Astyanax mexicanus: one gene and its partner. The protein of the gene in region 2 interacts with the protein of the main gene of each other region in a pairwise test. Links are inferred from orthologs where the notes say so. Each region holds a gene or a part of one and is shown on either strand. Other genes may lie near its edges.

Region 1 (7,959 bases), on a different chromosome or scaffold from region 2:
GCTCTTAAATTTACATTAAGAGGCAAGAAATTCAAGTAATTAACTCTTGATGAGTTCAGCACAGCTGTTAACTGAAAGCCTGAATTCCAGGTGACTCTACCCTTATAAAGCTGACTGAGAAAATCCAGCAGAGATGTTCAAAACTGTGCCTATTTCAAGAATGTAAATTTCTGGTTTGTTTAACATATCTTTTTATGTTTCTCTTCGTAGTTTGGATGATTTTAGTGTTAATCTACAATACAGAACATTTTAAAATGATGAAAAAACACATTTTATTAAGGTGTGTCCAAACTTTTCACTGGTACTGTATATTTAATAATATAAATAAAATATAAAATAAATAATATATAAAATAAAATATGCTTTATTAACTGATGGATATAACAATACACAATAGGGAATTGTGTTGTTAATATTGTTAAATCTGTGAATACAGTGTTTACAGCATATTTGTGAGCTGCTCTGTTATGAATGACCAGCAGGTGGAAGTATTGCAGTATTGTATACTCTCTCACAGCAGGTAAATGGATCAAGAGGACTGAATGTTTAATCTGTTTACTGGCTGATTTTTGGGAATTTATCAGAATTGTATAATTGTGTACATAAACAGTTTAAACAGGTGTCTTAGAGAACAACAATCAGCATCGATTGCTTTAATATTTTTATTGTGCTTAAATTGTGCTTAGAGATATTTCTCTATTAATGTGCAAATGTCAATAAAGAGGTTTGATTTTTATGTTTTCTACATTTTTATTGTGTATTATTTGGGCCAATATGAGTATAAATTGTGCTTTGAGTTTAAATTTAATACTCAATAAAAATCAAGATTTACTCTGAATAACCACTTCATTACAGATATGAAGAAATAACTTTAATCTTCACCTTAAATACTTAAATATACATATTTTCTATTGTACATTTTATAATACATATATTTTTTTATATGGGTGTTTGTTCGGGTTTGCCATGTCCGCAGTACTGCTTTAAATAAATAAAGTTAAATAATTACTTTAAATGGTTAAATAAGTGCAGTCCTAGCTGAAAGTGTTGGGACCACTGAATTTTGAAATTATCATCAAAAAAGGGACATCAAAAGCTTTATAATACTTTGCTGTACTTTCAAAGGGACTGAAGACTATCAATAATATTAATTTACAGTAACTTAATATTTCTTATATTGTCTCCATAATTAAAGCTTAAATAAAAGAAGTAAAGTTTAATCTATCCAAACTGGTGCAGTAAAATATTACAGTAATTAAGATAATTTTCTTTTTTTTTTATATCAAAAATGTATATTTTAAACAGAAGAACAGTCACTGACCAACCAACTCAACCACGTTTTTATTTAAATACCAGTTGTTGCTAAAATCATGATAAAGATAAAGATTAAAAAGTGAATAAAAATAAAAAGTGATTTTAAGCTGGAAATTATTAATTACATGTAGTTTTTTTTTTGTAGTCTTTAAAATACATCAGTTTCTCTGATTTTGTTATTTATAGGTTTATGTTTGAGTAAAATGAACATTGTTGTTTTATTCTATAAACTACAGACAACATTTCTCCCAAATTCCAAATAAAAATATTCTCATTTAGAGCATTTATTTACAGAAAATGATAAATGTCTGAAATAACAAAAAAGATGCAGAGCTTTCAGATCTCAAATAATGCAAAGAAAACAAGTTCATATTCATAAAGTTTTAAGAGTTCAGAAATCAATATTTGGTGGAATAACCTAAAGCATCTTGGCATCATGTTCTCCTCCACCAGTCTTACACACTGCTTTTAGATAACTTTATGCTGCTTTACTCCTGGTGCAAAAATTCAAGCAGTTCAGTTTGGTGGTTTGATGGTTTGTGATCATCCATCTTCCTCTTGATTCTATTCCAGAGGTTTTTAATTTGTTAAAATCAAAGAAACTCATCATTTTTAAGTGCTTTCTTATTTTTTCCAGAGCTGTAAGATGAATAGTAAAAATAAATTAGACAATTGTGTTTTTTGTATGTTAAAAGGGCTTTGTTCTGATGCATTGTTCTGATGGTTCTGTTTGATGTTTGTGGTTTGGGTGTTTAAGCCTGGCCACAGTGCTGCAGGCCCGGCGGGGCCTTTAACTCCCAGAGCATCGGTTATAAAAGGGCTGAAAATGAGGCGACTGTGGTCTAGGAAGTCCCCCCTGAGTGACCACACTGGCGCAGAGGAACGGTCCAGCAGGGCGTCACATGACATGACTTCTGCCCCACCCAACAACCTTACCTAACTGAAAAACAGCCCCGGGGCAGATCTGTGTACCGAGCTCAGCCCTGTACTGAACTGAACCAGTGCCAGGCCTCCAGAGAACATACCTTCAGATCAGCACTAAAATAATACAGCAGATTAAATTAGACTGACAGGTCAGGAGAACAGAATGTGCTGCACTGAAAGGACCGATCGAGTCATTTGATTCTGATCATTCTGATTATTTGGATTCCAGGTACCACATTACCCTTATAAACTCCTAGAACCTGGCGTCCACATGTGTGAACATCACATTTTGGGTTGTTTAGACCACAACATTTAATGTTGCTCTACAAAGGCCTGGTGTCCACTTATGAGGCCATTATACTGCCACCTAGTGATTGTGATGGTGATTGTTGTATGTCTTTGTGTTAAATTAGCATTCAAATGAGCCATATTGCTCAAATCTATCTATCTATCTATCTATCTATCTATCTATCTATCTATCTATCTATCTATCTATCTATCTATCTATCTATCTATCTTATTTCAAAAAGTGGGCTTGATATAAGTGATGCAAAGTGATACAAGTGATCTGTAATACACCACATTAGGCACTAATGGTCAAATTTAAATAATTTAATTAAGATATATATGTAATGCCATCTAGTGGCTTTTTTGGTAGCAGCAGTGTGCACTATTAAAACAGCAATGTGCAACATAAAATAAATAATAAAAAAATACAGGAACAGTCATGTATAAAATAATAGAATAATTAGAGCCTTAACGAACTGAACTCTATCCTACTATAACAGTTAAACATGAAAAATAAGACTCAATCCCTGAGAATGAAGTTTTTTCTTTATTAAAGATATATTATTAACTTTATCTGAGAGAAAGATGCTCCTTAAGGTACCAAAACTATTAACATATTTGAGGCTAGACAAAACAACTGTTATTTTTATATTTGAAAGTTTTTCTTTAAGAAGATGAGAACGTCCACATTCTCTTAAGCAGTCACAAAATCCACGGCGTCGGCTACAGTGTGCTGCACGATTTGCGTAGCTTAGAGGGAGGGATCGTCGATCCTCTTTTTGACTTCGAGGCTCGAGACCATGACATAATTCCGATCGATTTTGATGAAATATCGGAATCGTGACACCCCTAGTGTTCAGACACAAAATAAGTGTTTTGCACATCATTACTAATTGCGACTTCATTGTGTTCTGGCGAAATTTAAAACTACAGTCCACATATGTGGACATAATTTTTCTCAGAAACTACATAATGTAAAAAGATAATACATGATAAAGAAAAGTTTTTTACACTAATCAGGTGCCAATTAGCCCAAATAGCAAAAAAAAAAAAAAATCAACTTAAAGACCAACACCACAATCAAAAATACAATATACTAGTGCATCTCAAAAACTGAGAATATAATTGAAAAGTTACTTTATTTCAGTAATCCAGTTCGAAATGTAAAACTCATATATTATATAGATGTATTAAACACAGAGTGATCTATTTTAGGCGTTTATTTATTTTACTGTTGATTAAATATTATGTTTTACAGCCAATGAAAACCCAAAAATCATTGTCTCAGAAAATTAGAATATTATATTATTATAAGACCAATTGGTACTTTTGGCAGTGTGGGCAGTGTGCCAAGTCCTGTGAAAAAAGCATTAAAAGTATGTTCACAAAACATTAGGTAAAGAATACTAAGTGCATTTTCTGTGTTAATATACTTACACTATATTTCTGTAAAAGCAATATGCTTTAAAACATATGTTGTGTTGATAGAAAATATATACTGCATAATAGCATTAAATAGGCTACTGCTTAAAGTGCACTTTAGTGTAGTTTAAGTTCTTTTTTTCAGTAGCATTAAGGTGTACACCATATGTGCATCAATATGCAAAGTAGTACATTTACAATATATTGTACTTTAAGTGTATTAAACATGATCTTTAAAAAACACACTTAAATGTGCTTAAGTTCGCAGAAGTTATACGAGAAAAAAAAAACACACTCAAAAGCACAATTTAATGCTTTTACGTTGTGTTTAAATAAAGCTTATTTACAATTGAAATATACTTAAGTTGCCGTAAGTAATATTTGGAACATATTAACATATTAAGCTCAAAACAAAAGAACAAAGCTCTGGACAAAAATAAGAGACGATTTATCAATTATCAAGAGGAAGATGGATGATCACAAGCCATCAAATCACCAAACTGAACTGCTTGATTTTTTGCACCAGGAGTAAAGCAGCATAAAGTTATCCAAAAGCAGTGTGTAAGACTGGTGGAGGAGAACATGATGCTGAGATGTATGAAAAAACTGTGATTAAAAACAAACCAGGATTATTCCGCCAAATATTGATTATTTCTGAACTCTTAAAACTTGAATATGAATATGAACTTTTTTTTTTCTTTGTATTATTTGAGGTCTGAAAGCTCTGCATCTTTTTTTTTTTTGTTGTTGTTATTTCAGACATTTCTCATTTTCTACAAATAAATGCTCTAAATAACTAAAATATTTTTATTTGGAATTTGGGAGAAATGTTGTCTGTAGTTTATAGAATAAAACAACAATGTTCATTTTACTCAGACATAAACCTATAAATAGCAAAATCAGAGAAACTGATTCAGAAAAAAATATTCAGAAAATTGTGAGCTCCGGTCCTGCAGGGGTCGCTGGTTAGTTCTGGATGTATCACTCCGCGCTGTGGACAGGGGGGTGTGTAGTTAGCTTAGCTTAGCTTAGCATAGTTTAGCTTAACTCGGCGACCTGTGCTCCTCTGCCTGCGCGCTCCGGCGGAATAAAGCAGCGATATTAATAAAACACGCTTCCATCTGTTGGGAACTAAAAAGCAGGTAAATATTAACAGTTTATATATATCAGTCCTACGGGGTGTGAGCGCTGCGGCTGGGGGGAAACTCTGCGTTTTAGCGGGTTAGGTGCAGAGCTAGGTAGCTTAGCATAGCTCGTTAGCATTAGCTACTGGAGCGCTAACGGGCGCTAATGCTAACTAGGCTAACTAACTCAGTTAGTTAACATAGGTTAGCTAACTAGCTTAACTAGTTAACTGTCTGTTTCTTAATATTTATATTTAATAAATATTTAATTGTATTAGTATAAATATGATAGTATTTAATATTTAGCTTGCTTAGCTTAGCTAGAGAACTGTTGGTAATCTCTGTAAGTTTAGCTAGCTAATTCCCCTGCAGCTTTAGCTCATGCATAGTAAACCATGCATTTAGCTAGATAACTAACGTTAAGTTTATTTAATATTAATTATCATTTAATATGACTCAAATGTAAGTATTAAATTCTATTTATTTGCTATTAATTTGTATATAGGCTGGTTGGTTATACTTACAGTAACAGTTTATCTTTGCAATCCAGTGGTAAAGCTGGAGTTAATGTTTAACTGGATTAGTTCAACTAGATCTGTGGAAGATATTAGCTAACTAGTCAATGTGAACTATCTAGGTTTGGAGTCATTATAATGATGATTATGATGATACGGCATCGAAAATATACATATATTTATAATTACATAAATATATTGCTAGAGTACCAGTCAAAATTGTGGACACACCTCTTCTCATTCAATGTGCTTTATTTCTTATTATAATTTTTAAGCATCGCAAATTTAATATTGAATACTATATTAAAGCTATACAGGGACACATGCTAAATTATTTTGTAAACAAAAAGTGTTAAACTAACTAGAATATGTTTTATACGTTATACATTTATAACTTGCAGAGAGACTAGGCACCTTGATATAACTTTCTAACTTCTAACTAAGTTTCGGCCAATTGTAGTTGTGCGGCCAGTGTCACTTTTTGACAATAATTGACAATAATTGACAATATTGACAATATTAGCCAATGCCAATGTTTTAAAAGAAAAAAAAATCCTCATCCAATACGATATGCTGGTGTATGGTATTATATGACATTACCCTTGATATAGTGGCTCTTGATACTTCACAAAGACTTGCTGTCTTGGTCATATATATATATATATATATATATATATATATATAGATATATATATAGATAGATAGATAGATAGATAGATAGATAGATAGATAGATAGATACTTTATTGATCCCCGAGGGGAAATTCTAGACATCCAGCAGCAGACACAAAGTTACAAATTGAATACACAAAGTTACAAAATAAAATATATAAAATATAAAGATACATATAAATACAATCAAATAAAAAAGTAGAATGTACAATGTAAAAGCACAGTCTTTAGTGTGAGTGTAATGTAGAATGGAGGTAGTGCAGCCAGTTGATGTGCATAAAGTGAGTATAACTGATGTCAGCCATACAGAAAGTGCAAATGAACAGTTATAATGATTTAAATTCAGCAGTGCAAAAGATACGTAAACAGTAGATGGATGAACTAGTGAATGAACTACTAGTGCAGAATAGGGTAGAACTATAAACATAGTGTTATAGCTGAGGGTGTGTCTTTAGTTTGAAAAGTCTTATGGCCTGAGGGACAAAAGACATATATATATGTATATGTATATACATAAACTGTAATAAAAATGTTAAATGTTTGACCATGCCCCCAGCATTGGATTTTGTGTTTGGAACTCTTGTATTGTTTTGTATTGTTTGTTTTTTACATCTAGAAAAATAAATTTCAGCAAGTGTGTCATTGCCACTTTTCTATTAGAATCAGCTCACACAGATGTGTGTTTGATTGAATCTCTTTCTGTACCAAACCAGCAGCCGTGCCACGACGCGCCCCCACCCCCAGCGGAGCTGTCATGTGGCAGGAGGCCCGCAAACATGAGCGCAAGTTGCGCGGGATGATGGTGGACTACAAACGCCGTGGGGAACGACGGCGGGAGTACTATGAGAAAATCGTGAGTAGAACTCACTGTAATATTAATGAATAAATTCCATTTCTAATCCATGTGTAATTAATATACCTTAAAGAGTATGCTAAAGAAATAGTGAGGAGTAGTGTGGGAGGGGCACTGGGTGATGTATGGGTTTAGGGGAAGGGCAGGAGGGAGAGCTGATTTGGCTGAGCATTGTGCCTCTGATAGCGGTGAGACGGAGCTGTCATTTTAAGACAGTTTATGTAGATCTAAAATATAATGGCATAACAGTAATTTGCATCATCAATGCAAGATCTTGGTAAAAAAAAATGAGTGCAACTCTGATTGAAATAAATCTTGTGATATTGCAACATTGCAGAAGCTTATTGAAACAATGCTACAGTGAATGCATGCACTAATCAAAGCTAAAGGCTTTTTCTTTTGGTGGCGACTTTAGCTTGGCAGTGTGATGATTGATTGATTAAGTGATTGAATTTATTTAATGATTCAGAAAGTACATACACAGACAAGACATTACGCACTTCAAATCATTGAGGATTAAAACACAGTAAAGCACTAAGGCTTGTTTCCATTGTGGTCCTCTACAAAAAACACCCATAATTAAACATCTTTACTGCCCACAAACACAAAACACCTACATAAAACATACTCAAAGATGACAGACAGCGAGGTGGCTTCTCTTATGATATTCCTTATGTATTTAGTACTCTCAATGTCTAGGGTCTATAAACAGTTTTAATATAACCATCTCATTAAAACCTGTTTAAAAACCTGTTTAAAAACCTGTTCCGATGGGCTACATTTAATTTCCATAGGTAGTCCGCTCCAAAGCAAAGCTGCAAAACAACGTAATGTATTCTTTACAAATT
Region 2 (7,733 bases):
AGAGCTACAAAATGCTCCTATATGGTGTACATGCAAACCAATCAGAATATCAGCACCACTGACAGAGGAAGTGAAAATTATCCTTAATCTCACCATGGCTTCTGGACCTGCACAATATAGGGTTTCATCATTGTCAATGCCCACATTATATTTAAATTAATTAATTTAATTGTTGTTATATTTGCCCAATATCATTTATTTTATTTAAATCCTGCATACATGGAATTAATTAAAAATATCACTGACTTCTTTGACTTCCGGTAAAATTCCTGTACTGTTTAATATCGCAATACATTTTACAAGAAAAAAAAATATTGCAAGGTCAGCCTTTTTTTTCCCACAATCATATATCTCTAGTGGCATCTGTTAAGTGATGGGCTATATTAGGGAGTATGCATAAGGATCTGGCCACTTTAACAAAGGTAAATCAATGCAATGGCTAAATTACTAAATAAGAACATATCTAAAATTCTCTTGAGGGTTTATTTTTGGGGGTATGCAGCAGTCAGTACTTACCAGATGTGCTCCAAGAAAGACAACAAGAGAATCAAAGAGAGGATCATAGCACACTGATGTTTTAAAGGAATTATCTGCTGCTAACATTTTGGGAACATATACCATAGAACATCTTTAGAGGTCTTGTGCATTCTAAACCTTAAACAGACCTACTCAATAGTAGGCACCTGGTGCTACTGTTATTGCTGATCAGTGTATGTGCGTGCGTGCCTGCGTGCAGTAACAACTAGAATAGATTTAAGCAATTAATACAGTAAGATAAGCAATTAAATATCAATATGAATTTCATATTACAGTCATTCCTTTAGCCATGGTGGCAGTAATATGGGCTTGGATGATGACACAGACCCATAACCACAGAAGAAGAGGTAGGAATCATCTTTCACAGTACTCCAATATTAACCTTATAGGCTATAACCCTAAACTGGCTCTTTTAAACGGTTCTATACCATCTGTTTTCTATACAGAACCAGGGTTACATCACCCAGAAACACATAAATGAACCTACCCATGCTCTCACATACACACATGTGCATCTAAAAGTAAAACTTTATGTCCTGCAGCATTAAGTGATGGATATGCTGTCAGAGTGACTGATGGTCAGTGTCAAATCACTGAGCAGCACAAGCTATAGCTTCCAGTAAGAGGCACAGACAAGATACAGGACACATGGCTGGAAAACACACACACACACACACACATACACACACCCCAGTTTATATCAAACAGGGTTGGTCTCAAGAGCAAAAGTAGACTATTCCTTAACTGTTTAAAACTGCCCAAAAAAATCTTTTGCACACTTCTATGCTGCTGGGGTCACCAAAGAGACCTTGAATATAAGCAATAAATGTTCCTACCTATGAACTGATGTTAAATTAATCAGGACTTCATTTCTATTTAACCATTCATTATAAAATGTATATGCATTGTAAACAGCAGCTGCTTTCATTATGCAGAGTTTATACAGTGCTGATATAGAAATAACCAATGTATACACCTCATACACAGTCCTTGACATATACACCCCTATATGTATCACAAAATAATAAAAACACACTGCAGCATAGCAGCTTTACAACACTACTAACAACTGTTGAGACAACATTGCTGCAATTTAGAATATGCACACATTTATGTCTATATTAGGGCTTGATTATCTTCCCAGCAGGGCACATCTCAGCCTCCAGTTCACTTTCTACCAAAGTAGAATTTTACCCATACACACACACACACACACACACACACACACACTTACTTCACACCATGTCATTACAACACACCAAAGACACCTCTAAAAGAAGTAAAAAGCCCCTACCTCTGCTCCTTCTATCTATTCAGGCTCCGCTGCTGGATATACTCTTCCTGTCGCAGAGTCCTCCTCTTTTAACACACCTGTCCTCTTGTTCCCGGATCTCCTCTTCTGAAAAAACGAAGCGTTCTTTAGTTCAGGAGGACCCTCCGGACTGTCAAACAGAGCGTGTGGCTCCGTGGGTGTGGATATCCCAGCAGCAGATAGGAATCCTCTCTCCAGCAGCAGCAGCAGCAAGAACAGCAGCAGCAGCAGCAGCAGCCTGGCTGACTCAACAGCTCTACGAGGGTGACTACAGGACTACAGAGGCAACAGCAGAGTCAGGCTCAAACACACACATCCAATCTCTCTACATACACACATCGTCTCAGCACACACACACCAGGCCCTATCGCCACTATCCCTACTCATCACTACCTTATTCCTTAGAATAGCTGCACCCCGCTCTTCTATTCTTCACTTTCACATACCTCCTATGCCTGTGTTTTCTCTCCATCCATCACCGTCCACGATGTTTAAGCAGGAGCACTCGAAAGTCCCAAGATGACGCCGAGGGGTGAGATGTGTCTTGGTCCTATAAAATCATGAGGAGAGGAAAGGAAACACTCTGTATACGATTTCTCACCATGTTTTTCTGATTAGTATATCATTTGACAAAACGTTTTTTGTGTGAAAATTAGGGCGGTGAAGAAGAGTCCATTATTTAATTTAATTTCATTTGTAACAGAACTGCAATACACAAAGTGCTGGGAGCAGAAACGCAATGAAAGATGCGTAAATGGCTCACTCTCACAGTTTATACTAAACTTAGTTTGTCTCCAAAAGTGCCCAAACACAACAGAATACACATTTCACACTAAAGATCAGTACTTTTCATGTTTAAACAACATCTAGACATTTAAATGTCTTTCAAATTTTATGTTCTGCTGTTTCTATCATTTTTAGCGATAGAGAACATGTCAAAAATAATCGATGACTAATGGACTAATTGAAAAAATAATCTTCAAATTAGTCAACTACAAAAATAATCATTAGTTGCTGACCTAATTAAAATATGTTTGCGTATTGACAAATACAAATTATGCTCACATGCTGTATGTTACAATAAATAAAATTGATGATTGTTACTGTCCTTGATTTTCTTAAGCACCTCCAGCAGACCACTCTGGACCATGGAACCCTGCAGAAATAAAAAAGATCAAATGTTGATCTAATCACAGAGCAAAGTTGTTTCATGCAAAAACACAGAAAGTATAGAAAGAACAAGATTTTTCCCCTTAAAAATAAACTGAAACTGAATTAGCTATTAAGTTTTATTGTAACCATTATTATTCTTTTCATGGAGCTATGACCAAATGTGTTTACTGTTTACACATTGCACTGCGTTTTACAAAGAAAAAAATCTATTTAGAGTTAAATCTGTGCAAATAAAATAACTGTATGTGCAAAACATAGTCAATGATTACTCTGTCTATTGATAATGTACAAATCAGTAGTCAGCTTTGTACAGCCTGTACACCACTCATTTTTGTAGAAGTGATTGTTAAAGCCAGCCAACAAACAGGTTGTTCAGAGACTAATACTGAGAGACAAGCCACAAGGTCAACTTGTGTTTGAATAAATGAGTATTACTGAAAATGCTTTCCATTAGACTTTCTCGAAATAACCATGCACGGCTATGTTTAGGTTATTTTAAAGCAAATTTAAAGGCGGCCTAGATTCGTTTCCTGGCTGGGGTGACCCGGGTCTTTCTGTGGAGTTTGCACGTTCTGCCTTCTGTCTGTGCCATTCATGACCTTGCCTTTTAGTAGCCATTGAAGCTAAACAATTTTTACATCATCAGCAGTAAGCAGAATAATACAATGCTAAATCATTATGGTTAGGGGTGAGCAATAAGCTTTTTTGCGTTAAAAATATTAATGACGATGTGGCAAAGCTTTGTTTTTTTTTTTTTTTGTTGTTGTTGTTTTACTAATTTCAAGAATATACTACAAATTCAGTAAAATAAAAGTTTGTAATTTGTCTATTTAGTACATATCCACTGTAAGCCAGTTCAAACAGCAACATTTTGCTATTCAGTACAAGGTGTATTTCGATACTATAAGCACAGGACAGCTCAGCCACCATGCCAGACATCACATGGCTCAAAAGCTCTTAACCAAAAGTAGCTAGAGCAAACAACCTGATTAACTGGCAAGTTAGCTAACACACAAGCACACAGAAACAAATGCACAAACAAGCACGCACAAACACAGGCACACACACACACAGAAACAAACAAACATACAAACAGGAGCACACAAACAAAAAAAACAAGCACGCAAACACACAAGCAAAAAGAAACAAACAAGCACATGAACAACAATACACACAGTGATAGCTAATCTATTGTTAAATGTTTTACTGTTTTGAGCAAATTAACACTTTCACAGCAGTTGCTGTTAAACTCTCTGTGGTATGAAGCTAACCTAGCTAACTAGTTTACTAGCTAGAGCTAAACTAAAACTCCAACTTAGCAAGTAAACTGCAAGAAATATAGTTTGTAGTTATTAAACTCACTACAAAATAAAACAGCTGGCTCTAGCTAAGTAGGTTGGATATAGTTATTATGGCACCTGCTACCTTACCTTTTCTTTCCCCCTTTTTTACTGAATCTCTGAATTGTTTTCACTTCATTTTCTCTCTGGTGGTTACATTAAGTTACCATTTCTAAGATCTGACTTATGAATGTTAGCTAGGTTAGCTAAACTAGCTAAGCTAGTTAATGGCTAATTCACATAATGTCCACCATCTGAAAATCAATAGCAGTAAAAGCACTTCTATTAGTGTCTCATTAAATCATTCCTACACATAGTAAGTTACTGCCTAACTTCAATGGACATGTTTACGTGCTGTTTACAATACAAAATACAGCATAATGTGATGTTATTAAGTCATATTGCTAAACAATGCTAACTATGTGAACAGAACTTCGCTATAGCATAATAACTGAGCTTTTAAAATGTTGTTTTGCATTTTTCTCAGTTTCTATTAAAGTACATACAGCTGATTCTTTTAAAATGTCCTCCCTATTATTTTAATACTGTGATAAGAATATTCTATGTTTTCAGCAGCTGTAAGTTACCTCTACACATGCTGCAGTAGAACAGTCTGACAACACAAATCAACACTAGTTGTAGAGAACAGGCATGTTTCAGTCTCAGTTTTAAAAAAATATCCTCTCTGAAGTACTGAGCTGTTTAACACAGGATTCCCACCACTAAAAATCACACTGCATGGTCTATATATTTTTTTTTTTATATTATTTATTTTATTGACATTTATAATGTCAACTACACAAAACATATCAGACTATTTTAATAATTAAAAATTAATTGTATTCCATGTGTGTCCCATGTTATGGTCAACTCTATATAAACCTGCAAAAAGTTCAAACGAAAACCATGTGACTTGCATTAATGTCAAATCCCATTATTTAGTATTAAAATCTGAGGATACAACCACAGCATTTATTTGTGGGCAAATATTTTACTTTGCCATTAAGTAAATCAATAAATGTGTTAAATTGATTTATTGTTTTAGCTGTACTATGTGGCATTTTGAGGATATTGAGGATAAAACATTAGTTATGGCACTAAATGGGTGAAAAAAGTAACTTTGTTGGTGTCTAAAACCAGAGAAGGGCAGAATCATGAACACAAACTAAGCAGAGACTCAACAAAAGAGAACACAAAACCAAAAGAGCCAGAAACAGAAAAGTAACCTCGAACAAACAGACAAAGAGAGAAACGCTTTACCTTACCACGTGAATGACAAACCGACTGATTTAAATACACAGAGCAATAAGACGCAGATGAGACAAATAATTATTAATGAGTCCCAGAACAGGCTGAGTGTTGGACAGTTCCTGATTGGTAGAGTGGAGACATGTGACAAAGTTCTTCAGACATTAAGGATTATGGGAATTGTAGTAAAATAGGACAGTGGCAATTGAAGGACGGCATGCAGGCAACAAAAGAGAGGTTTAAATGTTTTAATAAAATAAGATTTCACTATAAACTATTCTTTTCCAAATATGTTATTAATTAATAAAAAAAAACTGTATGGACAGACAACATCAGAACAATGTTTAGTTTTACGTTTCAAGTGCTTTATAAACTATAGACTGCTAAGATACATATAAAATAGGGCTCTTTCCATTAAATATGATCTGCATAATGCAAACAGGCATCATTATTAATGTATCATTCTATACCTTTTAATATTGTACATAAAAGTCTGGAGTCAACACTAAATGGAGCAAAAAAAAAACATCAGATGTACCACCACAGTGACAAGCAAGGTACCATTCCACTGACAGTTTAGTATATTTTTTGTGTAGAGCACACTGAGTGTGCTCTACAGTGTACAATAGCACACTGTGTTCCACAGTACTTATTTATTAAACCAAAATCTGAAGCTTAAATAGAAATATGTGTTTACTAACCAACCGAGAATAAAATAAATTGTTGCTTTTAATGGAAGTCAGTGTAAAAAAGTGTATGTATATGTATTTCAGGTAATTTTGAAGAATTTCTATTGGTCAATTCATCAAGAAAGAAAGTGTGAAAGTGTAACACTTACAGTTTTTCAGGTCAAATTATGTACTTGACTAAAAATAAATAAATAAATAAATAACTTAGAGATACTTGGTTTTCCATGGACAGTGTCAAAATTATTTTAATGGATAATTTGCCCTACTTTTACCTTTGTAGGCTTATTCTAAATCATAGTATTTTAGGAGAATATTTTAGCATATTTCTAGTGCACTTTTATTAAATCTGTACATTTGGTCACTAGAAATAGTGTATGGGTTTTTTTCATCAGTACACCTGTTCAAAGTAATAAGCATCTTAACTGTTTCTCATGGTCTTTGGGAAGTTATTAACACAAAGAATTGTGAACGTTTACTCTATATACATCATAAAAGACAAATTTCTTTTTAAGTAATATCATTTTGTGACAAATGTAGAACCAATGCCTTCACTACATATTTTTACATTTCTAGTCAAACTGTATAATTTGATAATAAAACAAATACATTTTCAGATTTGACAATAAGATTCTGTAGGAAGATGTAGACTGAAGCAAATTGAACATTTCAGATATGGAAACTAGCATGTGAACTGCACTGTCTGTCAGAATGAAGAGAGAGTAACTGATCATTCTGAGATGATCAAAACACACTTGAACGAATTTATACATGAATAACTGTCTCTAACCCAGCAAGAGTTTTCATAAGCCTCTCGTTTCCATGTAGAAGTTCATTAGAGTCATTGGGCTGGAACATTAACCTAAATGATTTAGTTTAAGCGACTCTTAGCCAAAACCAAATAAAGGAGGAACTAAGCAGGCGGAACCTGCCAAAACAAATCTCTCTGCTGGGCGTGAGTCTGGCGGCTTCATTTGCGTGTGATGATGAACACGTTTAACCTGGGTTTGCGCTGGGCCTAGTGTGTCCTGACTGCTCGCGTCTGCATGAGCACAGAGGTAATTACATTTCCAGTCAGAACGAGCTTTCACAGATTCCATTCCACTTATCAAATGTGTCCAATGCTGATCTGAGATCAGATTGTGGTGAATAAAAGCTCATTAATTACCGCAGGTTAGCCTGCAGCCAGGCGACGGAACGGCGCAGGGGTAATTGAAAAGGCTTCCTGCTGTGTGTGTGAGAGAGAGAGAGGGAGATGAATTACATGTGCGTGTGTGTGATTTGTTTCTGCTGTGGTGATGTTTGCTTGTCCTTGTGCTCATGGCTATGGGTGGTGTGTATGTGAGGCACAGTGTATATTTCATGTATTGTGATATTTATACAATGCGACTGTGGCTAAGCTTTGCGATGTGGTGTCACGGTGTGTGTGTGTGTGTG

The links.
Region 1: the proteins of dab1a (region 2) and CLK4-associating serine/arginine rich protein interact in a two-hybrid assay, tested with the Homo sapiens proteins (2 studies listed by BioGRID and IntAct). The link is inferred for Astyanax mexicanus from reciprocal best matches to the Homo sapiens genes DAB1 and CLASRP.

What each region holds. Positions count from the first base shown.
Region 1 is NC_064416.1:2,806,782-2,814,740, forward strand, and holds the start of CLK4-associating serine/arginine rich protein, read left to right. Parts: upstream 1-4,941; 5' UTR 4,942-5,090; intron 5,091-6,971; 5' UTR 6,972-7,012; coding exon 7,013-7,111; intron 7,112-7,959. UniProt on the Homo sapiens protein: Probably functions as an alternative splicing regulator. May regulate the mRNA splicing of genes such as CLK1. May act by regulating members of the CLK kinase family.
Region 2 is NC_064408.1:62,180,499-62,188,231, forward strand, and holds the start of dab1a (DAB adaptor protein 1a), read right to left. Parts: upstream 3,007-7,733; 5' UTR 2,915-3,006; intron 2,400-2,914; 5' UTR 2,296-2,399; intron 2,126-2,295; 5' UTR 1,832-2,125; intron 1-1,831. UniProt on the Homo sapiens protein: Signaling adapter of the reelin-mediated signaling pathway, which regulates the migration and differentiation of postmitotic neurons during brain development.